Linked DNA regions of Mus musculus: all the other regions are reported to be linked to region 7. The links are microRNA targets in miRTarBase. Many come from high-throughput screens and were not tested one by one. Region 7 holds a microRNA gene; each other region holds the end of a gene's coding sequence.

The links. The annotated mature microRNA mmu-miR-466i-5p reads UGUGUGUGUGUGUGUGUGUG and lies in region 7 at 2,419-2,438, shown strand. An mRNA with a match to its seed (bases 2 to 7 or 8) in the 3' UTR can be bound and repressed. Matches are read on the target gene's strand: a 7mer-m8 pairs with bases 2 to 8, a 7mer-A1 pairs with bases 2 to 7 and ends in A, and an 8mer does both.
Region 1: the mRNA of Havcr2 is a reported target of mmu-miR-466i-5p. Seed matches in the 3' UTR shown: 8mer at 1,647-1,654, 8mer at 1,649-1,656, 8mer at 1,651-1,658, 8mer at 1,653-1,660, 8mer at 1,655-1,662, 8mer at 1,657-1,664 and 19 more.
Region 2: the mRNA of Tmod2 is a reported target of mmu-miR-466i-5p. Seed matches in the 3' UTR shown: 7mer-m8 at 2,709-2,715.
Region 3: miRTarBase lists Cask as a target of mmu-miR-466i-5p. Seed matches in the 3' UTR shown: 7mer-A1 at 2,972-2,978, 8mer at 2,973-2,980, 8mer at 2,975-2,982, 8mer at 2,977-2,984, 8mer at 2,979-2,986, 8mer at 2,981-2,988 and 12 more.
Region 4: the mRNA of Klhl13 is a reported target of mmu-miR-466i-5p. Seed matches in the 3' UTR shown: 7mer-A1 at 1,359-1,365, 7mer-A1 at 1,468-1,474 and 8mer at 1,469-1,476.
Region 5: miRTarBase lists Appl1 as a target of mmu-miR-466i-5p. Seed matches in the 3' UTR shown: 7mer-A1 at 2,444-2,450, 8mer at 2,442-2,449 and 7mer-A1 at 585-591.
Region 6: the mRNA of Bcl2l11 is a reported target of mmu-miR-466i-5p. Seed matches in the 3' UTR shown: 7mer-m8 at 1,276-1,282, 8mer at 2,335-2,342, 8mer at 2,337-2,344, 8mer at 2,339-2,346, 8mer at 2,341-2,348, 8mer at 2,343-2,350 and 8 more.

What each region holds. Positions count from the first base shown.
Region 1 is chr11:46,478,696-46,482,764 of GRCm38, forward strand. Havcr2 (hepatitis A virus cellular receptor 2) reads left to right here. Exons shown (of 7, transcript NM_134250.2): 7 at 592-2,560. The coding sequence ends at 751. Among named protein-coding and RNA genes, the nearest start is that of Havcr2, 26 kb to the left of the region's middle.
Region 2 is chr9:75,570,751-75,574,819 of GRCm38, forward strand. It overlaps Tmod2 (tropomodulin 2), which reads right to left. Exons shown (of 10, transcript NM_016711.3): 10 at 1-3,373. The coding sequence ends at 3,339. Among named protein-coding and RNA genes, the nearest start is that of Tmod3, 13 kb to the left of the region's middle.
Region 3 is chrX:13,518,516-13,522,584 of GRCm38, reverse strand. It overlaps Cask (calcium/calmodulin-dependent serine protein kinase (MAGUK family)), which reads left to right. Exons shown (of 27, transcript NM_001284503.1): 27 at 238-4,069. The coding sequence ends at 414. Among named protein-coding and RNA genes, the nearest start is that of Gm34836, 49 kb to the left of the region's middle.
Region 4 is chrX:23,217,093-23,221,161 of GRCm38, reverse strand. Klhl13 (kelch-like 13) reads left to right here. Exons shown (of 10, transcript NM_001381892.1): 10 at 310-1,877. The coding sequence ends at 797. Among named protein-coding and RNA genes, the nearest start is that of Klhl13, 150 kb to the left of the region's middle.
Region 5 is chr14:26,920,043-26,924,111 of GRCm38, forward strand. Appl1 (adaptor protein, phosphotyrosine interaction, PH domain and leucine zipper containing 1) reads right to left here. Exons shown (of 22, transcript NM_145221.2): 22 at 1-3,829. The coding sequence ends at 3,686. Among named protein-coding and RNA genes, the nearest start is that of Asb14, 27 kb to the left of the region's middle.
Region 6 is chr2:128,158,012-128,162,074 of GRCm38, forward strand. Bcl2l11 (BCL2-like 11 (apoptosis facilitator)) reads left to right here. Exons shown (of 4, transcript NM_207680.2): 4 at 220-4,063. The coding sequence ends at 318. Among named protein-coding and RNA genes, the nearest start is that of Gm14009, 9.7 kb to the right of the region's middle.
Region 7 is chr3:28,417,526-28,421,594 of GRCm38, forward strand. It overlaps Mir466q (microRNA 466q), which reads left to right and starts at 2,418; the gene lies at 2,418-2,493. The region is part of intron 2 of Tnik (TRAF2 and NCK interacting kinase); the gene reads left to right.

The DNA of each region.
Region 1 (4,069 bases), not on the chromosome of region 7:
TAATAAATATAAAATATAGTGCTGAAAACCATTCAAAACCCCAAGCCAAATGAGCAACCAAGCAACTAACCTCAAACAACAACAAAACAAATAAAACAAACAAACAAAAAACCAAACCAAATAAACGAGTTTACCCAAATGTGTTGAATCTATAACACAATCACAGTTTCCTTTTGAAACTCAAAAGGTGAGCACACAGAGGGTTGAAATAACAGTTCAAGGGACATTCAATCCCTTCATCTTCACCTCCTACTTGACACTCGGAACATCTGTCTTGTCTAATTCTCAGTAAGCACAGGGCTTTCTCTCAACCGCTTGTAACTATGTTGGATACATTTTGACACATCCCAAACACTTTGGCCTCTGCCTCCTCAGAGTTGGGACCTATGGCATTCATACCTAAGACAATTAAGATCCAATTACATGTCCTTAATTGTTCCACAAATTCCTGTCTGGGTTTCTTTCAGTGAGCATGTAGTGAAGGGCCATGAATGTCAACTAGCTGCTGTCCTTAGTGAAGTATATGCTTTGAATTCTATTCCCTGTTGTCTGGGAAATTCTTCTATCAACTTCATCATTTGATTGTTACAGCCTTATTACACTGGCCAACTTGCCTCCAGGAGGGTTGGCAAATGCAGGAGCAGTCAGGATTCGCTCTGAGGAAAATATCTACACCATCGAGGAGAACGTATATGAAGTGGAGAATTCAAATGAGTACTACTGCTACGTCAACAGCCAGCAGCCATCCTGACCGCCTCTGGACTGCCACTTTTAAAGGCTCGCCTTCATTTCTGACTTTGGTATTTCCCTTTTTGAAAACTATGTGATATGTCACTTGGCAACCTCATTGGAGGTTCTGACCACAGCCACTGAGAAAAGAGTTCCAGTTTTCTGGGGATAATTAACTCACAAGGGGATTCGACTGTAACTCATGCTACATTGAAATGCTCCATTTTATCCCTGAGTTTCAGGGATCGGATCTCCCACTCCAGAGACTTCAATCATGCGTGTTGAAGCTCACTCGTGCTTTCATACATTAGGAATGGTTAGTGTGATGTCTTTGAGACATAGAGGTTTGTGGTATATCTGCAAAGCTCCTGAACAGGTAGGGGGAATAAAGGGCTAAGATAGGAAGGTGAGGTTCTTTGTTGATGTTGAAAATCTAAAGAAGTTGGTAGCTTTTCTAGAGATTTCTGACCTTGAAAGATTAAGAAAAAGCCAGGTGGCATATGCTTAACACTATATAACTTGGGAACCTTAGGCAGGAGGGTGATAAGTTCAAGGTCAGCCAGGGCTATGCTGGTAAGACTGTCTCAAAATCCAAAGACGAAAATAAACATAGAGACAGCAGGAGGCTGGAGATGAGGCTCGGACAGTGAGGTGCATTTTGTACAAGCACGAGGAATCTATATTTGATCGTAGACCCCACATGAAAAAGCTAGGCCTGGTAGAGCATGCTTGTAGACTCAAGAGATGGAGAGGTAAAGGCACAACAGATCCCCGGGGCTTGCGTGCAGTCAGCTTAGCCTAGGTGCTGAGTTCCAAGTCCACAAGAGTCCCTGTCTCAAAGTAAGATGGACTGAGTATCTGGCGAATGTCCATGGGGGTTGTCCTCTGCTCTCAGAAGAGACATGCACATGAACCTGCACACACACACACACACACACACACACACACACACACACACACACACACACACACATGAAATGAAGGTTCTCTCTGTGCCTGCTACCTCTCTATAACATGTATCTCTACAGGACTCTCCTCTGCCTCTGTTAAGACATGAGTGGGAGCATGGCAGAGCAGTCCAGTAATTAATTCCAGCACTCAGAAGGCTGGAGCAGAAGCGTGGAGAGTTCAGGAGCACTGTGCCCAACACTGCCAGACTCTTCTTACAGAAGAAAAAGGTTACCCGCAAGCAGCCTGCTGTCTGTAAAAGGAAACCCTGCGAAAGGCAAACTTTGACTGTTGTGTGCTCAAGGGGAACTGACTCAGACAACTTCTCCATTCCTGGAGGAAACTGGAGCTGTTTCTGACAGAAGAACAACCGGTGACTGGGACATACGAAGGCAGAGCTCTTGCAGCAATCTATATAGTCAGCAAAATATTCTTTGGGAGGACAGTCGTCACCAAATTGATTTCCAAGCCGGTGGACCTCAGTTTCATCTGGCTTACAGCTGCCTGCCCAGTGCCCTTGATCTGTGCTGGCTCCCATCTATAACAGAATCAAATTAAATAGACCCCGAGTGAAAATATTAAGTGAGCAGAAAGGTAGCTTTGTTCAAAGATTTTTTTGCATTGGGGAGCAACTGTGTACATCAGAGGACATCTGTTAGTGAGGACACCAAAACCTGTGGTACCGTTTTTTCATGTATGAATTTTGTTGTTTAGGTTGCTTCTAGCTAGCTGTGGAGGTCCTGGCTTTCTTAGGTGGGTATGGAAGGGAGACCATCTAACAAAATCCATTAGAGATAACAGCTCTCATGCAGAAGGGAAAACTAATCTCAAATGTTTTAAAGTAATAAAACTGTACTGGCAAAGTACTTTGAGCATATTTAAACCAGATCAATGGTTTTATTCAAGGATGTCCTTATCTGACAGTCTTTAAGCAAGGGCATGTATATAAAGATGGTCACTGCTGTGGTGTTTACATCAGTAGGGGGATGGTTGGTTACACGGTGTTACAGTTTATATAAGATTTATAACTTGGCAGATATAAAATCAACTTGGAGGTCGATCTCTGCCTGGGTCTGTGAGGCATTTTCTAGATTAGGTTAAGTGAAGTGGGAAGATCCACTAAACATTTTCTTGTGTCCTGTCCCCATCAAAGAAAGTGGGTCAGGTCAAGGACACCAGAAGGAGGCAGTAACCTGGAACTAGAACCCTTGTTTTAGACTTGGGGTCACTTAAAATCAAGTATTTGGGATGGAGTTGGTGGGTGGCACAGGAAAAATGAGGTAGTATAAGGGACCAGGAAATGGTAAAGAGGTAGCTTAAAGGCTTCAAAATGAGAGGGTGGAGAGATGGCTCAGCTGTTCAGAGGGAGTGTTGTGCCATTTCGAGGACTGTAGTTTGGAACTCAGCGCCTATGTAACAAGGCTGGAATCTATTGCAGGCCTGTCACTTTGGCGGAGAGGGTCAGAGAGCAGGATGACTGGGGATGACTGGGCTTCCTGGCTTCCAGCCTAGCAGAGAAACAAGAGAATGGTTGATTATATGGTGTGATAATTTATATTGATTGCTAACTTGACAGGGTCAAGATGAATCCTTAGAGATGAATCTCTGGCTGTGCCTGTGAGGTACTTTCTAAATTGGGTTAATTGAGGCGGGAAGACCTATCCTAAGTATGTTAATTGAAGAGGGAAGACCTGAAGAGGAAAGCGTGGATGGGGACTTTTCATGTGCTGGTGTTCAGGGAGAGACCCTGCCTTATAGAGATAGAGAGAAACAGAGGACGACACATGATTCCCTCTTCTAGTCTTTGTGTAAGTGCTTAGGCACATATACTACACACAGATGTGCAGCAACTTAGTTTGATCCCTGGACCCTATGGTGAAAGACCTGACTCCTGAAAGTTGACCTCTGACCTCTACATTCACACTGCCTGAGCCTGTGCTCACACACTTATCACGTATAGACACAATAACAATACACGGAGTTAAAAATTTAAAAAAGCAGCCAGGCATGGTGGTGCACGCCTTTAATCCCAGCACTTGAGAGGCAGAGGCAGGCATATCTCTGAATTCGAGGCCAGCCTGGTCTACAGAGTGAGTTCCAGGACAGCCAGGGCAATATAGAGAAACCCTGTCTCGAAAAACCAAAAAAAAAAAAAAGCTAAAGAATTCAAAGCTTATAGAAAGGTTAGAGCTTTCTGAGATGCATGAGACCCAATTTCAAAACAAAACAGAACAAAACAAAACAAAAAAAAGAATGAAACCCTCAAAAAGCAAGAAATCAAAGGCTGGCAAGGTGGCTCAGCAATGTTTTACAGTTATGAAGACGGGAGTTTAGAGCCCAGCATCGGTGTAACAAGCTGGGTGTCTTTCACATGGCTACAAACCCATCTCTG
Region 2 (4,069 bases), not on the chromosome of region 7:
TTATTAGTATTAATAACTCCTTATAAAAAGGAATATCTATGATCTAAATATGACTTTTTTTCTTGCTTTTTGCCAGGGTGTGTCAACAATTGTAACCCACTCTCTACAATATGGGGCTGCAGACAATAATTTGCAGGGCCAGGGCTTCTTAGGAATGGAGGCAAGAGAGTGAATGAAAACAGGAAAAGGAAGCTTGTTAGGGACTCTGCTCTTAAAGAAGTCTGTGGCTGAGAGAGAGGAAAGACACTTAGCATCCTTCCTTTGGCAACAGAGTAACCAAAAATTCTGATTAAAATACACCCTATACATTTCACCCAGGTAGAATGGATGACTGCTTATCAGCCAACAATCTAGAGGAAAGAATGGAGCCATTTTCTTACACATTGATAATTCCCAAGGACTCTTCTCACCATGGCCAAGAAGTTAATGCTGGCAGAGCAGGGGCGACCTGTGCTATAGCACAGCGGTCTGTATGCCATACAGGCACAACAGACGTAAAGAATCTCAAGAGCATAGTTTTGCCTTTACTATCATCGATTTCACTGTAAGTACAAGCCACTTCATGTTCAAGTTGAGGGAGGGGTCTCAGGTAGCAGGCTGGCTTCAGACTTTCTGTGTAGCCAACACTGATCTTGCGTCCACTCCAAGTGCTAGGATCACTAGGGCATGCTACCACACCTTAATTTTTAGCAGGGCAATTTTGAGCAAGAATTTAAAGAATTCTTGAAAACTGAACAAACCAGCAAACCTATACAAACTGGCTTCAATACCACACCCAAGTGGGTGAGAAGGAAGGAAAGATCAGATTAAGGGATAAAACAAAACAAATACATTTTTAGATTGACAGGGAGATAAAGTATTAAGTTAAAGCACTTGGGGGTGACTCAAAAAATGTCAGAATACCCTATTTATTATGTCCTGAAGAGTATAAAAATGAGCCAAGAAAATGAGGTGTGTCTGAGAATTTTTGCTTTAGCTGTGGTTATTTATAGCACAGTAAGTGTTCAGTTTCTCCCTCTAAGTGTCCAGTTTTTTTTCCCAAGGTTCCTGACTCCAAGTTCTTTCTTGTCTGATAGTTTCCCATCACCTTTATAGGACTTAGAGCAGTGGTTCTCAACCTTCTTACTGCTTTTAATACAGTTCCTCATGTTGTGGTGACCCCCAACCATACATTTATCTCATTGCTACTTCATGACTGTAATTTTACTACTGTTTTGAGTTGTAATGTAAATATCTGTGTTTTCCAATAATCTTAAGTGACCTCCATGAAAGAGTTATTCAACCTCCAAAGGGATTGTGACCCACAGGTTGAGAACCACTGACTTAGCGACATAGAGAGAAGGGAAACAAGAAGGATGCTTTGTCATGAAAGGAGAGGAAAAGGAAGGACAAGAGATGCTAGACAGGATCTTCATTGTCAACTTGATGGGATTTGGAATCACCTACGGTGTTACCAGAGAAGTTTAACCAAGAAGAGAGAACTCACCCTGAATGTGGGGAGCACCATCCCATAGGCTGGAACTCCAGACTAAATAAAAAGGGGGGAAAGGAAAGTGGGCGGAGCCCCAGCATTCATCTCTCTTTGCTTCCTGTCTGTGACAGTGATGTGACAACTGTCTCATCCTCCTGCTGCTATCCTTCTCTGCCACAGTTGGTGGCAACCTAAAACTGTGAGCCAAGATGAATCCCCCTTTTCCTTATATTCCTTTTGTCAGGTATTTAGTCACAGCAGTGAGAAGGGCAGCTAACACAGGTACCTGACAGTGGCTGATGTCTATGACAGGAGAGAAAAGTGATTATTTTGGGCCAAAACATTCCATCACTTGGTACCTTAAATTTGCATTATGCTGTCCAGTTGTTGTACTAGGAAATCAGTCACTTCATGGTCACTTCAGTCATGTCTTCACAGGCTCTGTCTTCGAGGTGACAAACATCTTAGCAACTGACAATTCCTTTTAACCTAATGTTTGCAAATAGCTGGATTTACTGTGATATATGACAAAAATCAATGCTTGATTTTAAGCCAAAAGGCAAAGAAGCAATTGCATGTGACAAAAAAACAAAACAAAAAACAAAAAACAAAAAAACCAAAAAACCCCCAAAAAACCTATATAATTAACCACAATGCCCACAATTTAGCTGGTGATCTGGTTATGCTAAAGATGAATCAACAATTGCTTTTAAAATTTGTCAAATTCATTATGTATCAGAAACTTTGATTAAGGTACCATAACTTTTAAATCTATTTTTAATCATGTGTATGTATATAGGGGGTATGTATACCTATGTGTGGATGCCCTCAGAGGCTGGAGGCATCAGAGTCCCCCGAGGATGGAGCTATACAAGTTAGCTGCTTGACACAGGTGCTGAAGCTGAACTCTGGTCTTCTGGGAAAGCAGCAAGCACTCTTAACTGCTGAGCCAGCTCTCCAGCTCCCAAGACGCTGTTATTGTTATTTTATGTGGGAATGTACTATTTTGAAATTTTCTTTTGGTTAAACTTTAAAAAATTTCCCATCATACCTGGAAAGTCTTTCAACGGCTTTGTAAATAATTACCTATTAGAGAATCATTTTAAATATAATTTGGGTTGGAGATGTAGCTCAGGAGTAGAGTGCTTGCCTAGCACACAGGGTTCTGGATACAATTCCCAGGACCACATACCTTAACAAATATGTTTCATTCATGTTTAACAGTAAGTAAAGGTAAGTGTGTGACTTGTTAATATACTCACGGGGCACTAAACAGTCCCTTTGCCAGTGCTACGTTAAAGTGCTTTCTAAGGAAGATCCCACTGACCATCTATCTATCAGTTGGGCATGTGCATGTAGAGACACTATTTTTTTTTTTTTCTGAAATTAACGGAGAATTTGTGAAAGCTTGGCAATACTAACTTCTCATGTGGTCAGTAGCACACACTCCCCATGTTCCTGGCCTAGCTCAAAGCAATGCATGTAAACAGAGATAGGCCTCCACTTTGTCATCAGCTACAAACACATGCTACATGCTAAGTCCCTTCCATGACTAAAAACGGTTCACGAAAGAAAGCAAGACAAACTACAATATGAAAGTGGTTAAGATCATCTCCAGCGTTGTCACTGTCTAAGATCTGTATCACCCTACTTGTGCAAGCCACCAGGTGTGTCCAGGAGCGAGGCAAACTGCTACACATATTTCAGACAAATAATTAGCGCTAAAAAGGAGTAACAGTTAAAGTTATGATGGATATGGTTAACGGAAATGAACAGCCTTGGATCAAATGGTCCGGTGGAGAAGAGGATTTTGGGTATGTTTTTTTGGATGGCCGCACGGTGAGACTTCACCCCTTTGAGTGGGGCTTTACCTCCTGTCTCCTTCAACTCTCTTCTTTCGAACTAGGTAGGAGAGAGAGAAAGAATTAAAAAAGATGAACCAAAGGATATCCTTTAAAATCACTCTAGAGCAGAGTTCTCAGCCTTCCTAACGCTGCGACCCTTTAATATAGTTCCTCCCGCTGTGCTGACCCCCAGCCATACAACTATTTTATTGCTACTTCATAACTGTAACTTGGCTACTGTTATGAATCACAATGTAAATATCTGGTACCATCTGATATGCAGGGTATCTGATATGTGACCCCTGTGGGGGTTGTGACCCACAGGTTAAGAACTACTGTTCTACAGGCTTGTATCCATCTCACAAAGCTCCATGCCACACACCTGAGGGCATAAATCCTCTTAGATTCCAACATTCAGTGAACTATGGCAGTAAATGGAACTGGCAATAATAATCTAGCATGTAGAGGAATTCATATTTAAATAAAGCTATGTCTGGGAACTGGGAACTTAAATGTGAGAGCTTCTCCACGTGTTTATGGAATAATTAGGCAAGGACAGTCTACAGAGTAATGAAATGGTAAATATTCTCATGGGAATTTATACATAGGGCATCCTCTTGTCTTCTGTGCAGTTTGGTCACCAACTGGCCCTTTGTGAAGTTCTCAAGTGAACACAGCCATGCCCAGCATCTCTGATTGTAGCTGGGAGACCATCTATAAACAGAAGCTCCGATTCTCTAAGGCTCATCTTGTT
Region 3 (4,069 bases), not on the chromosome of region 7:
GTTGCATGTCAACCAGTCACAGTTGCCAGTGGGAGCTCTGTGACCCTGCCATCACAGGACAGTGACCATCATCTCTGTCACACAGCCATCTTAGCCTCATACCCCACTATTGTTTAGTTTTGACCCGTTCTAACGCTGGGATGAAATGTAGAAAGAGAAAGGCACGGACTGACTTCCACCTTGCATTTGCTTTTCCCTTCTCCCATCCCTCCCCGTCTCCCATACCACCCTATGCAGGATGAATCTCTTCAGCGCCTGCAGAAGGAGTCCGATGTCTTGCAGAGAACATATGCACACTACTTCGATCTCACAATTATCAACAACGAAATTGATGAGACAATCAGACATCTGGAAGAAGCTGTCGAGCTTGTGTGCACAGCCCCACAGTGGGTCCCAGTCTCCTGGGTCTATTAGGCTTCTCCTTGGCTATCTGAGTATAAAACTGGGAGCCACCTCCTACGTGGAAAAAGCCTCTTTGTTATCGGCCTTGTGTCAGCAGGTCGTGGTCCCTAGAGACTACCTAGTTGTAGTGTGACCTACATTTATAATTATTGTCATGTCCGAATAGATAGGAGGAGAAAATCAATTACACACTAATTTAAAGAGACAGTATCTTTTTTAATCAGTTCTCCTAAACTTTAATAAAATGTATCTTTAAATGTATGTATTATTCAATCCTTTGGAATGTTATATTTTTGGAAATCATAGCTTTTTATTTCCAAGGCCCCTAAAAACTGCACAAAATAGATGCTGCTTTCTATAATCTATTTTAATAATAATAAACAATGATTCTGTTACCTTGACTGGGGGTGGAACACTACATTCTTTTTAGAGTCTGATTTTATGGATTGGAATACCTTTCTTTCCTTTATTTATTTGAAATGATTAGTCTAGTGATTACAAAACAGTCATAAATTTTTAAAGGCCTGTTTTCTCTCTTTTTTTAAGTCCTTTATGTAACATGCGGATACTGTGATACTGTCTCTTTGAAGCACCCTGTAAACCTTTTAGAGATTTGAAGTTGGGTCTTGACTCTTAATGCATGTGGACAGTCGCGAGCGTTTATGCTGTCGGTGTGTCTGTGTTGGACAAAACAATCTGTAATTACAGCCAAGTACATTCCGTTCACGGGGCACACCCAGGGGAGTAAGAATAAATTGCTATTATGACTAAGTTGTAAACCTATGCACATCCCTTGCATTTCGGGCAACTTTATAAAACAGAAAAAAAAAACCTGATTTTTATTAATAATAATCATGTAGTGAAATGTGTTTGTAATTTTGTCTCAATTTAATTTGTTGTAAGGTGGGAGGGGGTATTGCTGGTTTCGCCATTTCAGATCTGTGTTGTCTAAGAGTATTAACGTTTTAATTAAGCAAAGAAATGCGGATTTTTAATCTGTATGTAATTGTTTTAAGCACCCATTTAAAGAGAATATACTGTGCAATGAAGAAACCAGTTTAGGCATTTGCTACAAACTGAATTATTCCAAAAGAATAATCTATAACAGCCCTGTAAATTCCTTTAAAATGATAACTAACAGGACAGTCTGACCATTTTTTTTAAATATACTTCATTGTATGTGTTCAATAATTAAATGCCTTTGGGTCCTTCATTTCATTATAGATTTGTTCAGGTCCAAGCTGGTAATCTTTTAAGTTCTAAAATTTGTTAGATGCTCACTGACCCATCGAAGGCCCAGGAATAAGTATCGGTTGGTAGGGCAACAAAGCAGCCTGCCAGGGCACAGCTTGGACCACATGTGACTCACAAGGCCACCTGTGGTCTCTCCTTCCTCTTGCTCTATCCCTTGGCACAGGGGAGTCACCTGTCCTTGTTGCTTTAAAAGCATTCACCATGTCATCCCCCGCCATGCTGTCAGAATCACTAGAGGAGGCCCAGGCTGGGGTTCTCAGACTGCCAGAGGTCACTAGAGTGTTGCCCCTTCATGGATGAGAGAACAGGGCACTGACATGACTCTGGTCCTTGGAAACACACCATCGTTTTCATTTCTTCAGGGTTAGCTGGCCTCCATCACTTTGTGCCTTGGCAGAATGAGTTCTGGCCTGAACAGCTCCTCTTAGGCACTGAACAGAGAAGGCATTTTTGTGTTCATACTCCTCTCCTGTTTTCAGCATCTCACCCTTCCCAACTATTATTACATGATACCATTTGGTTTCTGTTTGTAGACCATTCTTTGTCAGTGCCCAGATGGTCACAACTTACCAACAAGATACTGTGAGAATAACTTGTGTTCGGTCCCACAAGTAAGGGTGGCCTAACAGCACACCAGAGACAGACTCAACAGTGAGCTCTTGCTAGGTGGAGGGAGAAAACTTCAGGAGTTGCTTAGGGCTGTGTAGTGCTGACCTCGATCCTAATCAGTGCCCAGGCCAGACATCATTACTGCAGTAGTACTGAGCATAAGGCACCCTTTTCAGTGGCTCAGTACCTGCTCTACCTCTTCCAGTAAAGCACAACTAAGGTGTGGGAAAAAAAAGAACCATTCCTCCCTCTGGTAGAATCCCTTATGCTCCACTTGCTCTTGAGAGCACATCTCCAGAAATGCTGGCAAGGCCTGTGTGTGACCATCTACCACGTCCCCCCAGACAGAATGAGCATAGGAAAGTGAAGCCAGCTGAAGTTCAGGTGAGCACAGACTGAAAAAGGTACTCCAGGACTCGGGGACATGGGGAACTTCTGTCCTCACTGGCCTTCTGGAGTCTGAGAGAAGAGCACTGGTGGCATCCTTCCTGCCCTTATACAGGTGGCGAAAGCCTGCACCTAGAACCCAGCGGCTGCCCCAGCAGCTCACCTGCTCTTCTCCACTAATACACAGCTCTAAAGCAGTGTGCTTATGACCTACAGGAAAACAATCTCTGAAGTCAGAGTACTATCAGTACAGCCGTACCCCGAGCAATCAGAGGAAATTGCTCAAAGCTTCTTGACTGCTTCCATTTCATCGGCCAGAACACACACACACACACACACACACACACACACACACACACTAGAGCAAATTACCAGAGATTGCTAAATCAGTAGTCAGCTGAAATGTTGGAAAGCCAGAGTGCAGGTCCTTTCTGCCGCCCCAGCCCTACTCCCCACAACAGGAGAAGGAGTGTTTGGATCTCCTAAGTTCGTTGCTTAAAAGATGAAGTGAGCTGATTTTCTAATCATAAAGCAGTAATTACTTCTCACATGCATCGTATTCCTATCTGAACACTGAAAAGGAATGTGTCCCTCAGCTTAATTCATCTGGAAGTTTCCCAATGTCGAGATAACATTGGAACTGCTTTAGCAGCACCCCATCAGAGGAGATGGCTTAAAATATCAGCTCAGAAAGGCAAAAGAAAGAGTTGACCTACTTCTTGCTATTTGCATTCAGAAGGCAGAGTCTCAGGCTATTGGTGGCAGAATAGATAAAGCTGCAGAGTTCCCCAGCAAAGGAAGAGTGGCAGGAAGCGGTCCCTTCCCTATATCTAAGGCCTGGGGCAGGCAGGCCAAGCATTCCTTTGAAGCTACTGTTATCTTTTTAAGCTTTTTATCTGTGAGTTCTGTTTTCCAATCAGGGGTCTCTTCATTAAGGTTACCAGGGTTTTGGTTTGTTTTTTTTTTTTTTTTTTTTTTTTTTTTTTTTTTTTTTTGCAAAAAGTTAAATCAACTGAACCACCCTCCAGGAAATGGGGAGCTACTCAGAATGGAAACTGCTCCTTAAGGGTGAGGCAGCCCAAAGCATTCTCTTGTCTCCCACTGATGGGATGTTCCTTTAGCATCTCAGGTCAGTTTCTTACACGGGGGAAAAATAAGCTTAGCTTGTCACAAACGCTATGGAGAAAATGGCTTGATTAGTGAATTCTTAATACAAATGTCTCCTTGGAAAGAATAGAGGGCACACTGCTAAGCATTCCAAAAATCAAGCCCCTGGCATGCCTCATCACTTCTTGTTTCAGGTCAGCATTCTGGTGGGTAGATAGTGGTGGCTGTTTGTCAGAACTGAACACAGCCTGCTCCATCTGTTCTCTTCGCAAGGATGCTGATGCTGAGGCACACTGAAGCCCCTGAACAC
Region 4 (4,069 bases), not on the chromosome of region 7:
GTAGTTCGATTTTACTATGCAGTTAACTCTAATAGTGGCCAAAATATATTTCCATCTATTGACACTCCTTAAGTATGATGGCTCTTCATTTGAGAAGGTTGCTGTAATAATATAATATTTTCACTTGTTTTAAATAGTTAAACGTAAGATTTTCTTTTCTTTGTTGTTGTTATTAAAGAATATGGGGCGGCAACAGCTATATATTTATAAGCTATAATATGCTGTAAAATGTAGGAAAGGTTAATCATCTCTGAGAGAGCCTCACTTTTTACATTTTCTTTTGCTCATGCCTATTTTTTCATTCTTTAGGAGGAATTACCCATGACACTTTCCAAAAGGAGCTCATGTGCTTCGACCCTGATACTGACAAATGGACCCAGAAGGCACCGATGACCACTGTCCGAGGCCTACACTGCATGTGTACGGTGGGAGATAGGCTCTACGTCATTGGTGGCAACCATTTCCGAGGAACCAGTGATTATGATGATGTCCTGAGCTGTGAATACTACTCACCTATCCTTGACCAGTGGACCCCAATTGCTTCCATGTTAAGAGGGCAGAGTGATGTTGGGGTCGCTGTCTTTGAGAATAAAATCTATGTGGTTGGTGGCTATTCATGGAATAATCGCTGTATGGTAGAGATAGTGCAGAAGTATGATCCAGAGAAAAATGAATGGCATAAGGTTTTCGATCTGCCAGAGTCTCTTGGTGGTATTCGAGCTTGTACACTTACAGTTTATCCACCTGAAGAAGCCACACCATCACCTTCTAGAGAGTCCCCTCTTTCTGGACCCTAAGATCATCCTTACAATTAAGATGCTATATTCCTATCTTTGCAATGTGTCATGATTATCTTCTTTTCCCCCCTTAAGTAGCATATATGTTAGAGTTAGCCTTCAGTAATTGATACAGAAAAAAAATTGACATTGATGTTACTTGTGATGTTTGTATGGCCTAGAATGTTTATAAAGTGGTAACAAACCATCCTTGAAATATATCCCATAGAAGCTGATGTTTAACATGAAAACAAAAAAAGTATTGTCTACAAAGTGTTTCTTCAGTACTTTCTAAATGCTGTGTACTGAGTGTAAGGGATTCCTCATCTTACATTATAAGCCAAGTTGAAGGTGGATTATAGTAAATGTACAACTGTGCTCACTAGGTTTCAAAGTGAAGAAGTTTTCCTTTCATCTTTAACTGTAAGATGTCAAAGGGAGGCAGCCTGCTCCAATAGGAAACAGTACACAAAAGGTTGCCAACTCGCATGAGCTACCTCCCTCTTTTCATAAAGTATTTTTGACACATCTGTCAACCCACCTGACTGTGTGGGTGCATTGAGAACACACCAAGTTTCTAAGACACACAGGAGAAATAACTGAAATTCACCAACACTAGTTTGTGGGGGAAAGCATGACCCCTCTGCTTATAAGAATTGGTTTGGGGTTTTTTTTAAGTGTGTATAGATGAACACACACATACTTATATCAAATACAAATTTTTAAAAATTGACTGTCAGGTCAAATAAATGTGAAATTAAACAAAATTCTTCTAAAAAGCAGCTTCCATGAAAAATGGGGATTCAGTATGCACACATTAAATGCATATATTTCAAACCATACTGAATTTAGGTGGATAAGGGCTAGAAATTTTGAGCAACTAAATTTATCACTTGACCAAATTTTACCATAAAGAATTATATTCTCTTTTTCTCCTTTGCTGTTGAAGTAACTTACCTGTTGTGTGGATTCTGTATTCTGTACACTCTTGGTTCATGAGGTTATTTAGCACAAAGTGTAACAGCTTCACCTGGGAAGCTGCTTTTGCTCTATGATGTCCATGGTTTCCCTTCTTTTCTTCAATAAAAACATTTAATGTCATTCTGCTCTGTGCCATGCCGTTACTCCTCAGTTTGATTTCCATTTATTCTGTATCTTTCAAGGGGTGAGATTGAGGAGGTCGAACATGGTGTATGTGTATGTGACTTTTATTCAAAGGACAAAGACTTGGGCCAGCCCTCACCTCACTGTGTAGATACTGCTTTTTGCCTTTGAGGAAATGGTTTGTGAAAGATGCTAATTGGATCTTAAGCAGCAGCAGTGCAAAGCCTGGGTAAACTAAAAGCAGTTACATGTCCTCCCTCCCTTTCTTTGCTCTTCTCTTCCCTTCCTACTGTGACCTGCAAAGCTTGGTCCAGAAACCCTATCTAAGGGTGATGAGGGTAATATATAAATGTCAGATATGTACACAAAAGCTGGGGCCAGGTGAGGTGCTGCCACTCTTATGGGGTGGCATTTCCACCTGCTGCAACCCAAGCATGTTGGGAGGAGCGTGGGAAAGGGGGGGCTAGTCTGGGTAGGAGGTATATACAGCCCAGCAGTCTCAGGCTACAAACATTTAAGAGGAGGGAGTTGCATTTGCTAGGTTTTTGCGCAAACAGGCCAGTTGTTCGTAAATACTTGTACTTGGGCCAGTGGAAGATTTTGCCAATTTCAAGCTTGGGCCCTATGAGGAAAGACTTTGCCAATTTCCCATGGTTCTGAGGCCTTAATCCTTGCTGTGGCTATGTCCATGACAACACTCCACATTCACTCAGGATTTCATTCAACTCAGGGTTCCTTTGCTCCTTATACCTTTATTCTCCCGTCCCCTTCCTGTTTCCTTGAGAAGCTCTTTGTTACTCTACTCCCCAGGTTGACCTTAATTTTCTGGGTTCAAACCATCTTACTGCCTCAGCAGCTAGACACACAAACTCATGCTACCTTGCTGAGTTATACTGCATTATATATCTGTGGATAGTTTCTCTGCCACTCAAGATCCATCTTGTGCACTCCAGTGGAACCACATAAAATGACTTCTTAGATTTTATTGCTTCATTTTGTCCAGACAAGATTTCTCTATCCAACTTTAGCTGTCCTGGAACTTGGGTAAGCTAGTTGGCCTCTAAATTCACACAGATACACCTGCCCCTACCTCCCGGGTACTGGGATTAAAGGGTGTGCCACCATCAACCTGCCTAAGATTTATTCTTAACATAGGACCCTAAAGAAAAAGAATTGCCATCTCTTTCATTTCATCTCTAAGTGTATAATGTACATCACTGGGAAGAGAGGCCCCTAGGTATTGCAAACTTTATATGCCCCAGTACAGGGGAATGTCAGGGCCAAGAAGCAGAAGTGGGTGTGTAGGGGAGCAGGGCTGGGGGAGGGTATAGGGAATTTTCAGGATAGCATTTGAAATGTATATATAAAGAAAATATCTAATAAAAATCAAAAGAAAAAGAAAAAAATAATGGGACTTAAAACACTGTTTAATTAAAATCTCTGGGAAGTTTGTGTTTAAAAAAAAAAAAAAAGGCAAACTGAAACCAGAACATGAGGCTATTCCAAAACACTACAGTATCATCAAGGTTCCTCCACTTAGGTAAGAATGTTTCTAACTGAGCAAAACTTCTCTGTGGATTTTACTTTTATATACATGAGAATATTCAGTAACATTTGTTTTAGCTAACACCTGCCTGAAAATGGAAGTGTATACAAGACAACTAATGATACTGTAAGAATCCCAGGTCAGCATTCCTGATCAAGCAACCAAAGGCCAAGAACTCCTCCCTTCGGTTGGTAGGAGGAAAATGAAGCATTAAGAGGTGTGAGTGTCAGAGTGCTCAACCTGGAGAGAGGCATTCATTGTAACTAGCTACATACTACTTGCCAGAATACTTTAGCTTCATCCACAAAGGGGATGAGAAAGGAAGAAGAGAAAGTCAGGTTGGTGATCTTCTAGCAGCCTGTCACAAGAATAATGCAAAACATATGCAGTTCTCTTCTCTGCATCTGTGCCTTGTGTTATTTAGAAGCAACGAATTTCACACTTTACTGTAATGGTTATTATTAGATAGTTCAAACAGCTGGGAAAGTATTATGTATTTCTTTCTCAGCATTTGTGTGTGTGTGTGTGTGTGTGTGTGTGTGTATGCGTGTGTGTGTGTGTGTGTGTGTGTGTGTGTGTGTGTGTGTGAAAAGGAACCTTTGGTTGACTATACAGGTGTTTCTTGCATTTTCCTGTTATCCTA
Region 5 (4,069 bases), not on the chromosome of region 7:
AGGCAGCATGACCGGATCCTTTCCAGGGCAGCTCCTGATAAGAGGTGGAAACCACAGAGAAATGAGAATCAAACGGTGAAGCCACTGCTCTAGGTGTGCCTAATCCTTCAACTTCCATTTAGTCTTAATAAGCTTATGCTATTAAGAATAATATTCCTGGAAAAGAAATACATAGGAATTAGCCCGATGGAGATTTTTAAAGTACTTTAAAAATACTTAGAAGTATTTTGATTAACATTAGTATTTTATGCTATTGAGGCTTATTAACAAAGTTTTAAATAATTTTTCCTTTAAAGTCCATTTCATCTTATCATTAAAAAAGTTCAGTATGGTTCTAGTTTAAAATCTTTATGTTATTAATGTAGAATGACAATTTCAAAGAGAAATAAACTTGCTAAAAATAAAATTAAAAGTTTGCTTGCCATATACAATGGTGTGTTTAAATACTTAAAAGTATGATCTAAATGCTCAGACTGTTATTAGAAGCAAATATTTCCTTTCATTCGTGTGTCAGAAGACTCTGCTTTAAGGGTCTGCCAGCACTGTCAGTTCAAACTGTGAAGAGTGCAGCTCCTGTAGTTACTTGTGTGTTCACTGCACAAAACCATGCTACCTACAATGTTATGCACATCTTACGATCCTTTTCTCAAAAATAACGGCAACATCCTCATCCCAACACTGTGGAGCTTGGAACACTTTTGAAATTGAACACCAATCAATCATTAAGTAATGGAAAAAAACAAGATTAGCTATAGGTAACAGAATGCAGAGTATAATTAGGTAGGCTAAATTTCATTTTTTAAAAAGCAACTTTGTTAATTTCTAAAAAGCTGGGAGACATGTAGCCAGGCAGTGGCCCTCACTCATGCTTGGTGTCCATCTCATTTCCTGATCAAAGCCACTTTAATGAGAAATAGGTACCAGTCCTCAGCAGGGGCCAGGATCCCTCAGGGGAGAGGGCAGAAGATGCCTGGGATCCAGCCCACACTACAGAGGCTAGGCAGAAGGAAGGAGGCAGCCACCTACTAGCACCCCAGCCCTGCAGGGTCATCTCAGCACCCAGGCCTCTCCCCGTGGCTGGGGCAGCCCTCCCCCCCCTCCCCCCAGGTGCATCTGCCCTCAGTTCTTTCTGTGTGATCTATTTTTTAAGAAGAGTTTGTGTTATTTTTTCATAATGGCTGTAGCAGCAGCTGCTGGTTTTGTTTTAGGTGGATGGGGCTGGGAGGGCCATTTCTTCGCTCTGCTTCAGTTGAACATCTAGGACGTATTAAAACAGTGAAGCTTTTCCAGGGCATTTTGAATATGGAAGAGAATCTGAGCAGACGCCCGCAGGACTAAGACTGAAGAGGCAAGGTCTACTTGCCTTGGCTCAGTGACCGTGACAGGAATGAACCCAAACTCAGAACAAGAAAATCAATTCTGTGCCTCCCCCAAAATAAAAAAGTTGTGGGAGATCTTGGCGGATAGTATAACAGAATGACATCTGTACTAACATTTAGGAAGAAGCTGACAGGAGCCTTCTTCAAGCAGAGAGCTGACTACAGCTGATGTGCAGAATTGCATACAGTTTAATAGTGATACAAGTTAAATCACTGAAACGGACTGATCCACTCAGAATGCGTCCTAGGCACTGGAACACATTTTGGTCTGACCCATGGACATGAACACAACTGGGGGAGTTCCTATGAAACATGACTTAAAAAGAATTAGAAAATTCTTACCTCTGGCCTAAATTTTTATCCAAATATCACTATTTTGTTACCATGCAAAGCACCAACCAAATAAAAGTGCCTCCTGATGACTACTCTTACTATAAAACACAGTTCATCTGAAGCAAGCATGACGTCTTCCATCAAGAAAAGATTCATGAAACTGAAAACCTGGGGTGGGGGTGTGGCTCTGTGGTAGTTTAGTAACTGATCACTGCGAAAATCAACAAACAAAAACAAAATAAAATCAATAGCAACAACAACAACAAAACAAGAAGCCTTACCAATATCAAAAAAAGTTTTAAAAGCAAGACTTGTCACCACTAATCACGGTCTAACCACAGCAGTTCACAGTTTTAACAGAGGAAACACTACTTACTATGAAGGCATTCCCTTTAGTAAGCCCAAAACAGACTTTTAGCCAAATGCACTCCATAAATTGATAATTATTAACTGTATGTTTGGGTAACAGAAGACTTTGAAGAGTAGTAAATAACCATTAGTCTCATTTGGCAAATGGAGAAAAAGAATATGATCCTATATATATCGTTATCTTGTTCCTACAGAAAACAGTGTACTTACAGAGTGTGAAACGGAGCTATAAGCTGAAAACTAAAACTTCTAATTCAGAACAAAGAGAAACTACTTGTGAAATTAGTGGTTAACCTTTTGAAAATCTCTAAATGTATGACTATGTAAAATACTAATCAATATATTTAACCTGTATACATATGTGTGTGTATATATACACACACACACACACACACCTTTTCATGTAGAATGAATGAAAATAAAATCTGTAAACACAGTTTAAAGTCCTAGTAAAGAAAGTTTTGACAGAATCACCCTCAGTACACGCTAACTCTGTCCTGCACTATATGAGGTGTTCAGTTCCTTTTCAGTCTTTCATGGAATTAGACCTTTTACTCATTTGAAAAGTAAAAGTATTTACAATTATTAGTGCAAATTATTCTACACTCAAATTAGTTATTTGCCTTTATGGATAAAAAGTGGCAATTCAATACATTATCAAAATGTGGGATTATGAAAATACTGGGGTTATCAGTCTGAAATTCAAAAGATTGTTTTCTAAACTAAACTGCACATTTTTATTTAAGCAATAAACATAATTGTTATAGAACATCTTTTGAAATGTCACTCATTGTCATTTAAAAATTATTTCACAATACAGAAAATACAATGTATCAGTCTACAACACTCCCTTTACATGTCAATTCTAATATAAAATGTTTGAACAACAACAATCTCAATAAATTCTGAAGTCTTACTCTCTAACCTTTCCTGTTCTGCAGCAATAAGTAAAGTCCCAACCTGAGAACTGAGAAGATGGTAACAAAATACCAAGTGCCACACAAACACCAACAGACACTTGAGGTCTCCCACTGCCATGATCTAGTACATCAGAGAAATGGAGCAAGCCACAAAACATCCTGAAGTCAACAGCACCACCTGCCCCGTCCTTGTGATTTTGTGCAAATTCTATTGCACACTCAATATTGTTACAACACTTGCACACTTATAGAATTCTCCACATAAAGGATGTTAAGCTCACTCAATTGAGCCCTCCCTCACTACCAATAAAACATTCCTAATGAAAGGGAGAGTATACACAGGAATGTCAGAATCCAAGAATAAATCATTCCTTATGGAGACAGCCAATTACAGTGCAAGATAAAATGTTCACAATTTAAAGGAAAAATATCTTGAAGACCTGTAATTCCTCAGCAATCTACTACAGAAAAGTAAGCAGGTCTTGTTTAGGAAAGCAGAGTTGGATGACAATGCATAGTATTTTATTTTTACGGGGAAATGTTCGCTATAACCGGTTATCAAGTTCAGTCTTTTTAAATGAAGCTGAAGCACACTACTGTAAAGCTTATCTCTTCCATGATCTTCAGCATGGATACGCTGTGCCACATCCCAGGGAAATGAGAACTCAAAAAGCAGCAACAAGTTTATGCTTCCGACTCTCTTTTTTTCCCTTCTTCTCCCAAATCACTCTCCTCTGATTGGCTACTGCTAAGAACAAGCTGGCCCTCACTACCAGCCTGGTTTGGTCTACTGGAGGCAGCTATCAACCGACTCTGTTCTTCCAAGTCCTGGTGGAAAGATAAAGAAAGAAACTAAATTTAACTGTCAGCAGTCAGATAAAAAACTATGCAGTTTCCGATGGAGCTCTACTATACATGAGAGCTGTTCCAATCTTGTCACATGCACTCATTCTGATAACCTAATGAAAAGAAAGGCTAGATGCAACAAATGAAAACACCAGCATGAATTTTGGCACCATTTGAATAATCCCAAAAAGCAAACATGCAAAAAAAATAATTAAGAAAGAG
Region 6 (4,063 bases), not on the chromosome of region 7:
CAGTTCCGGGATAGCTTTGGAATAGTTTGGTCTTCTGTTCGCTCTGTTTCCCCAGTGATGGAGAGTTCACTCGGTACACTTGTACTCCATGATGTCACATCCTTCCCCCCTGGAATTTGAGTCTCCCTGCAATTCAGATGGGCTATGTCTCTTGCCTTGCATACGCGCCTTCTCCAGATTACGAGAGAGTTGCTAAGAACTCTGCTTCTGTTGTTGCAGGTGTTTGCAAATGATTACCGCGAGGCTGAAGACCACCCTCAAATGGTTATCTTACAACTGTTACGCTTTATCTTCCGTCTGGTATGGAGAAGGCATTGACAGGATCTACATGCAGCCAGGATACGTGGCGGACATGGCTCTTGTTCAGACTGGGAGAACCCCCACGCGTCATGTCCCTCTCTTGGTGCTGCGACAGTGTGTCCAGTGGTTCTATCCCAGAGAGATGTGCTGAGCATGGACAGCGCTCTGCACTGTGTCGATGTGAACGGAACCTCTGTTCATCACCACATGGCCGAGTTTTCAGTAAATATTTGTTGTGAATGTAAACAAGGGAGGGCTTTTCTCTTTTTAATGTACAGATCCTAGGAACAGAGAAATATGCAAGAGAGGTGTTTACATGTGGCGTGTTAATTTTTTTAAACCCACTTTCTTTGATAACTGTTTTTGGGGTTTTTTTTTTTTGTCTCATTTTCTTTCAGAAAGTAAAGCTTTTTAGCCAATTTATGGATGATTTTTATACTCAAATTCTTAACCCACTACCTACTCAGAGGATTCCATAACCCTGCAGTGGGAACTGAGCCAGCTGATTTATAAGGCTGCCTTAGTTTATTTTTAGAAATTACTGTACAGAATTTTTTAAACAGGAAGAGTATGGTGTTGCCCTCTCTCCTCTGCCATGGCCTCTTTGAGTTTCCTTTTGAGTTATTACTACCAAAACAGTTCTTAGGAAATGGAATGAGTTCGAGCGGCAGAGGTTCTGTTCTGGTACGCCACTTCCACTTTGTAAATATTTACCTCCTTAGCTCAGTTGCTCCTGTAGCAGAAATTCACACTTTTCCTGCTTCCCTCAACTCCTCAGACCCCTCGGTCTGTCTCCACACGGATGCGCAGCTTCAGCCCAGGGTATCTTCAAGTGTATTGTGTCAGCAAGGGCTAGGGGCTGCCCGGATTGTGCCCAGCTCCATCAATCAAGCTGACTCACGGGAAGGGCTCTCGTGCGCTTCACTGCACTGCGGTGGCTGTGTTTGCCTCTTTTATCCTGAGAGGACGTGGGCTCACACACCGCTTGCTGAAGCCGCTAGCTCCACTGGTTGCTGGCTTTGCTGCCGCCACAGGCTCTGCTTTGCTGTGTGTATCAGGTGAGCTGGAGCCCACGCTTTCTCGGGGACTGGCCAGGTCATTTCAGGAGCAAGGAGCTCAGGTGATCCTTTTCCATGCTTCTTGGGATGTAGCCCTGCTCACCCCACCTGGCCTGTGATTCCTGAATTTCATCTCTATTCCCTTGAGTTAGGGGCTGGCTCTACTTCCATCAGTTCCCAGACATAGGAAGCTTCCATTATGCCGAGTAAAGCACTTGTCTTCCACAAGATGTCTGCCTGCTTTGCTCTCTCCATTTTCTTAATACTTGGATCTTGTTGGGCTTACTTGTGTCTGGGGTGGGGGTGAGGTGCTCTTTCTTGGTCCCTGCCCCTTAGGACCACAGCCCAGACATTTGGTCAGTTATTTCAAGACCAGGCAGGACTGGAAGTGCACAGCCTGGTGGAGGAGCACTTTCTAACCTGTGGAGAGCTGTGGCCCAGCTCCAGCTCCTCCCAAAACAAACGGCACACGTGTAGGCAGACAGCCAGGGGAGATACAAAAAAGGACCAAGAGGAAAGAGCATGGGAGGAGTGGGGATGGCAAGCCCTCTCACTTCTGAGAACTTCAGACGTCAGGCAGCTTGCTCAGGAAGCTTTATGAGTTTCCTCGCAAGTCAGCAGTGCCAACGACTGTTTGCTTTTGGCCTGTAGAAAGCCAGTGGTTTTTCTTATGTTATGAAGTAGAGAAATCCGTTTGTTCATACTTTCCTCTGTGTGTGTGTGCATGTGTGTGTGTGTGTGCATATGCGTGGTTGTGTGTGTTTATATGTATATGTATATTACCTATAAGCTTCCTTCTAGATTGAGATCATCTGATTCCAAATATCCTTATACATTTCCCAGCTTCGTTAGATTTGGTGTGGTTTGAAAGCTGTTTTGGCATTCTCCTCCTTTCCTGATGTATTGAGCCTGCTCATGGTTCCCATGAGGCCCTGTGGTTATTATAAGTTGGTGTTAAAACTGCAACCATGGCTCTCACACACACACACACACACACACACACACACCAAAGACATACTTGGTCCTGGGCCATGCCCCCCTCCTAGGACCTCCATTCTCATGTGCCAGTCTCCCCGACTGGAGCACTTTACTGTCTCAGCCCCATGGCTCTGTGGCAGTGCCTGAGCAGGTGCAGAAGCTCCAGAGCCAGGTCCCAGTGACATGTGTGGCCCCCAACGCATGCTTACCTCCAGCCTGGGGCTGGCCGCTGAAGCAGCTCATAGGGAAATAAGAGATTCTATGAATTGTAGAAGTATTCAAGAACAGGATGCGGCACCCAGAACGTAAACATGACTGGATGTCCCTGTACTGTATCTGTTTGTTAGAGTGCAAACGTCGCCTGCAGACAGACAGTGCCCCTGCTTACTGTGGGTAGGCCTTTGTACTTAAATATATTCTCTCTCGTTTTTGGTAGGACAGAAACTAGATCTCCCTCCCCCTCGTGTGTGTGTGTGTGTGTGTGTGTGTGTGTGTGTGTGTGTGTGTGTGTGTAAACATAATGCGGGTTTTGTGCCTTGACAACCTCCCCATGTGAGGTTTGTAAATAGTGTCCTGTGACTTCACCTCAAGTTGTAATAAACATACAAAATGGTGTCCTGAGTGATTCTTCAAATTTCTTTTCCAGAAAAGAATTGATGAATTGGGGGAAGGGGCAGGGGTCTGAAAAATCAGTTTAAAGTCTCTCTATTAAAGTATGTAATGGGTAATGTCTGCTTCTCCTATTTCCTTCCAGTGTTGTATATATTTTGACTATTTATTAGATTAGAAAGTCATGTTTCACTCGTCAACTGAGCCAAATGTCTCTGTGCAATTGTGTTCCCTTTACCTTTCTTTGTAAAATATTGTACAGCATAAATGAGTAAAAAAAAAAAAATCACTGTTTTTCCAAACTTCTCATAATTAAGGATTTGTAAATACCATAGGTTCTTCTTCTGTGTAATGTGCCCTACTGTTTCATAATGCTGTAACTTGTAGAGATGTTGTATATTTATTTTCCGCTTATTTAAATGTCTTAAGTTCTTGAAAGTGTTGACATCCCTATCCCTGACAGCCCTGCCATGCCATGAATTGCTTCAGCTCCTGATAAAGGAGGGGTAGTGGCTGGTTCTCTTCCCACAAGGCGGCTTCTGCTTTGGCTTCTGGCATTCAGTGCTTGGGTTCTGCCGCCTTTCTGATGAAATGAGTGTTTTGCTGCCGGTGAGATACCCTAAGATGCTAGCCTGGAAGATTGGACTCTAAGAAAATACCCATCAAACCCATTTTTGAAGCAGCTGGCTTCTGAGAAAAATCAGACTCACCAGTAAGTTGGCCACATCTTTAGAGAAGTATTAGCAGCAGATGGGGAAGAATTTTTTTTTCCTTAAATTGAAAGAGTATCTTTGACAACTCAGTGTTGAGAGAAATATTATCCTGCTGCCTCTTGAGGTACTGCTGAATGGCTGTCCTGGGTAAGAGAAGGGCTGGTGGGACCTGTTTCTAGAGCATTTGCCAAGGCCACTTGTGTCACCAGGACACTCGCTGGCTACCGTCCCCACCTGCTGTGTGCTTCCTAGTTTGAGGTCTGTGGACTGAACTTACCTATACCATTCGGCTCCCTTCCCGTTCACTGCTTTAGGCCAGCCCACTCCTGCTTCCCTCTACAGAGGTTCTGGCACCCACGTCAAGATGGCTCACTGAAGCTCTAGAGCCATGTGACTTCATGGAAA
Region 7 (4,069 bases):
CCCTGGGAATCCCTGTCTGGGCCTCTCTAGAGCTGGGATTACAAGTGGCCACGATGCCTACCAAGCTGTTGTGTAGATTTGAAGGTCTGCACACCGATCCTTATGCATAAATGCTTTATCTACTGAGCTATCTTATCAGGCTGACAGTGAAATTATTAAAACCATATGTTACATAGAGTCCAGTCATTTCCATTTTTATGAATTATCCATGTTATATATTAATAATTTTGGAACAAGTAGGACAATTACAAAAAGATCTTGTAGTTGGAAATTATACTGCCCAGAGTTAATTTTTTGAGGCTCATCATTTTGATGCATCACCTTCTAGACTTTTCAAAAATTCCAGTTTGGTCATAACAGATATACAATGATATGCCTACCATTATTTGACCTGGAGTTATGTTTAGGCATAGAAATGCATGTCGGTGTCGCAGACCCTGCCCTTCCTCAACAGCCCAGAGTGCAGAAGTTTGACTTGGACCCATGAATGTCCCATGGATATATATATATATATATATATATATATATATATATATATATATAAGCATTTCAAAAAAATTACCCTCTTTTTGAGATTATAATATAATTACATCATTATCCCCTTCCTCCCTCCAAACCCTCCCACAATGCCTTGTGCTCTTTCAAACTCATCGCCTCTTTTATCATTATTTATTGTTACACACATACACACATATTAGGAATGTATGTATGTATGTAGGTAGGTAGGTATATCTCTAAAAACATAAATACAACCTATTCAGTTAGAAACTATATCCATAACATCTAAACATGAGCTGAACAAGGGCAACACTAGACATGCTGAAGTAGGCAGTGGAAAGCCCTCCATCCTACACAAAGACCTACAAAATGCGGAGAACAGGAGAAATTGCTTATCCAATACCAAATGGACAGCCCTGGAAATATACATACAAGGGACATTATACACAGCTTGGCTTTTGCATATCAGAATGGTGTACAGGGGAGCTGGTCTCGAGACAAAGCAATGTTAACTGTAGATTCTGCTCTCTAATTTCTTTTAAGAGTGTATCATTTGTCACAGTGCTCTGCCAACTGCTAACTGCAGTATCGTTTGTTCTGTTGGTCCACTAAGAATGCCTGTTGAAAACACACAAGTGCTGCAAAACAGCGCCAGAAGAAGCCTTCACAACTCTGATTTCTGGGTCAACTGGTATTGGAACATGCTTCCTCGGGTGAGGGTTCTTAAGAAAAAAGATTGCTGGAAAGCGGGCACCAGAGTAGACAGAGACAGGCATGGGATGGGCTCCAGCTTCAGTTTTCTCTTTCAGTCTTGAACAAAGTACCGACCTCTTCTGAGCATCAGTATCTTCATCGAGAAGCCATGGGCAGCATGCATGCTTCTCATCTGATTAGAGAGTTGAGATGGAGATACATAGGGTGCTCCTGTGTGCAGCAGGACTCACTCATGACCTCGTTTCCTCTTCCCTTGTTTTTTACGAAGTCTGCAGAGAAGTGCCAGTGCCCAGATTAGTCAGTGAACGATGATAATGGCATGCTAATATTTATCCAGTGAAGCACTTTGCACAGAACTATTTGTATCATGTTTGTATAATTAGAGGAAACGCTTCTCATCATACATTATGATGTGAACTTTCCTTCCTAGGCTCCCGGTAATTAGATTTGGGTGAGGAAAAATTCCCCGAGTTGTAAAAATATACAAAAACTTTTCTCGAGTTTGCTTTGTGTTTTATATTTGTGACTAGAGTTTGCCATTTCTCTTTTTATTAGGTGCTCACCACAAGTATGTTAATGAGTGGAAGTAGTGGGTGAAAACTGGCGTTTGAGAGCCATGTTAGGTTTAAGCTGACATGAAATTCATATTTGGAGAAACAGAGTAGGATCCGAAGTGACTAGGTAGTATAAATGCTTCAGAAAGCCTCGGTATATTCCTTGAAGAAAATAGACAATTGGATACTTTTTGCTCTGGGCTGTGAAAACCCTTCTGAAGAATGTGGCATCTGGATTCTACTCAGCTGAGTCCACATGGGTATACTACTAGTAGACTTTACTACTATCTGGGGGGTAAGGTGGGGTTTGCAATAGGTGCAAATAAAACTTTATTGAAGTATTAAATGTATATATCACAAGAGAGTGCTTAACAGTGGGGTGGAGCAAAAAAAAAAGAGCTGAGAAATTTTCATGCAGAAAACTGAAGGAATTTAGTGAAATTCTTTATTTTTAACTCCTTCCCATGCTTGAAACAGGGGTCTCTAGTCTAGCCTGGTCTTGAACTCAGTCCTCCTGTCTTAACATCCTGGGTGTTGAGATTACAGGCAGTCACTACCATATTTATCTAAAGTCTACCTTAGGAAGACCCCTCTACTCCTGAAACAGTTTTAAAAATCTCCTTTATATTCTTATTACCTTCTCTTTAGTGTGTGTGTGTGTGTGTGTGTGTGTGTGTGTATGTGTGTGTAGTATATGTGCACACACACACATACGTACCCATGCATGCCATATCTCATCTCTGGAGATAATAGGACAACTCGTAGGAGTCAATTTTCTCCTTTACCCAGTAGTGCCCAGAGACTGATCTCAGGTTGTCAGGCTTGGCAGCAAGCACCCTTACCCTCTGAGCTGCCTTATAGGTGTGCTTTATATTCTTAATACTACTGAAGAGTGCAAGAACCGTATGTTTGGATGGATTGTCTACCAGCATTTATTATAGTGCCAATAAATGTGATTTCATTAAATACAATAAGGACTTTTTAAAGCACAATATTACTAATGCATAACACAATGTCCATTAGCCGCAGTGATGACATCATCTTGTGGCATGCAGCCTCTGGGAAACTCCACTGTACAACTGTGGGGCAAGAGCGAAAATAGCATTTGATGTCATTGTATTAATATATAAAAAGGGCTCCAGAGACTCAGAGGACCTCGGGCATCTCTGAGGACAATTGTAGTGGCTTGTAGTCACTAGAGAGGTCACGCTGATCTGTCCTTCCGTAACCCATCACTCCATTCCAGGATGAATGACATTATTCACAGGGTTAGAAATGAAGAAGGCAGAATTTCACAAGTGGCTCGTGGCCGAGATTTGGTACTGCAGGAGCACAAGAAGAACTACAACAACAGAAGCATTTCATTTGCCATCACTGTGTATCTTTGCATAAGTATTTTTTGCACAAGTTAGGTTAGATCTACATCAAATGAAAAGAGTGGATGTATTTTAGTCAAACTGTGTTAGGAACTTCTGGCCTATAATAGCAGCCAAACATGGGATGTGTGTGCAACCTCCAAACTGGGAAACACTTAAGAGGTGTTTCCTTGAGCTCCTGGCTTGCTTGGCTAGGGCAAATATGACGAGGAGCCTACCAGGTGCTCTGCTCAGAGCTGCAATGGGGAAAACCCCATCCAAACGACAGCAGAGCACACTCAGCTAGTAACAGCTAGCTCTCATTAGCCCCTCACCCGATACAATTAACAGAAAAGAATGAAAGACAGAATAAGCTTAGGAAACAGGTAAAGGGTGGTTTAAGTATGGTCTTAATTCTTTTGAGACAACCATCCCTCCTCTCTCTCTCTCTCTCTCCTCTCCCTTTTTTCCCTTTAATGTGATGTATTTATTTTTATTTCATGTGTATGGCTGTTTTACCTGCATACATGTCTGTGCATCATTTGTGTGCTAGGTGACTGTGGGTGGGAGTCAGTCTCAGTCTATCTAGATTTACAGATGGGCTGAGCTATCATACTGGTGCTAGGAACCAGATTAGTGTCTTCTGTAGGAACAGTGTGTGCTTTTAATTCTGAGCCATCCTGCTAGCCCCACAAGTGCCCCCTTTAAAGCAAACATCTGAGAGTGGCCACAGATCCTTTGAATATTTTCCCTAAATTCACACTGGAGGAGCCACCTTAAAACACAAAGTCTCCTGCCAAGTCTCTCCTCTGGATTGGCCCTGCTGGATTGGTCTAGTCAGTTCCCATCACCATTGGCTAAGACATCTGGCCACTAGGACGCAGAGCACACAAACATTGTCTTTGCAAAAGCTCAGTCAGCGTTGCTGGGACGCACCTTCACCCTGAC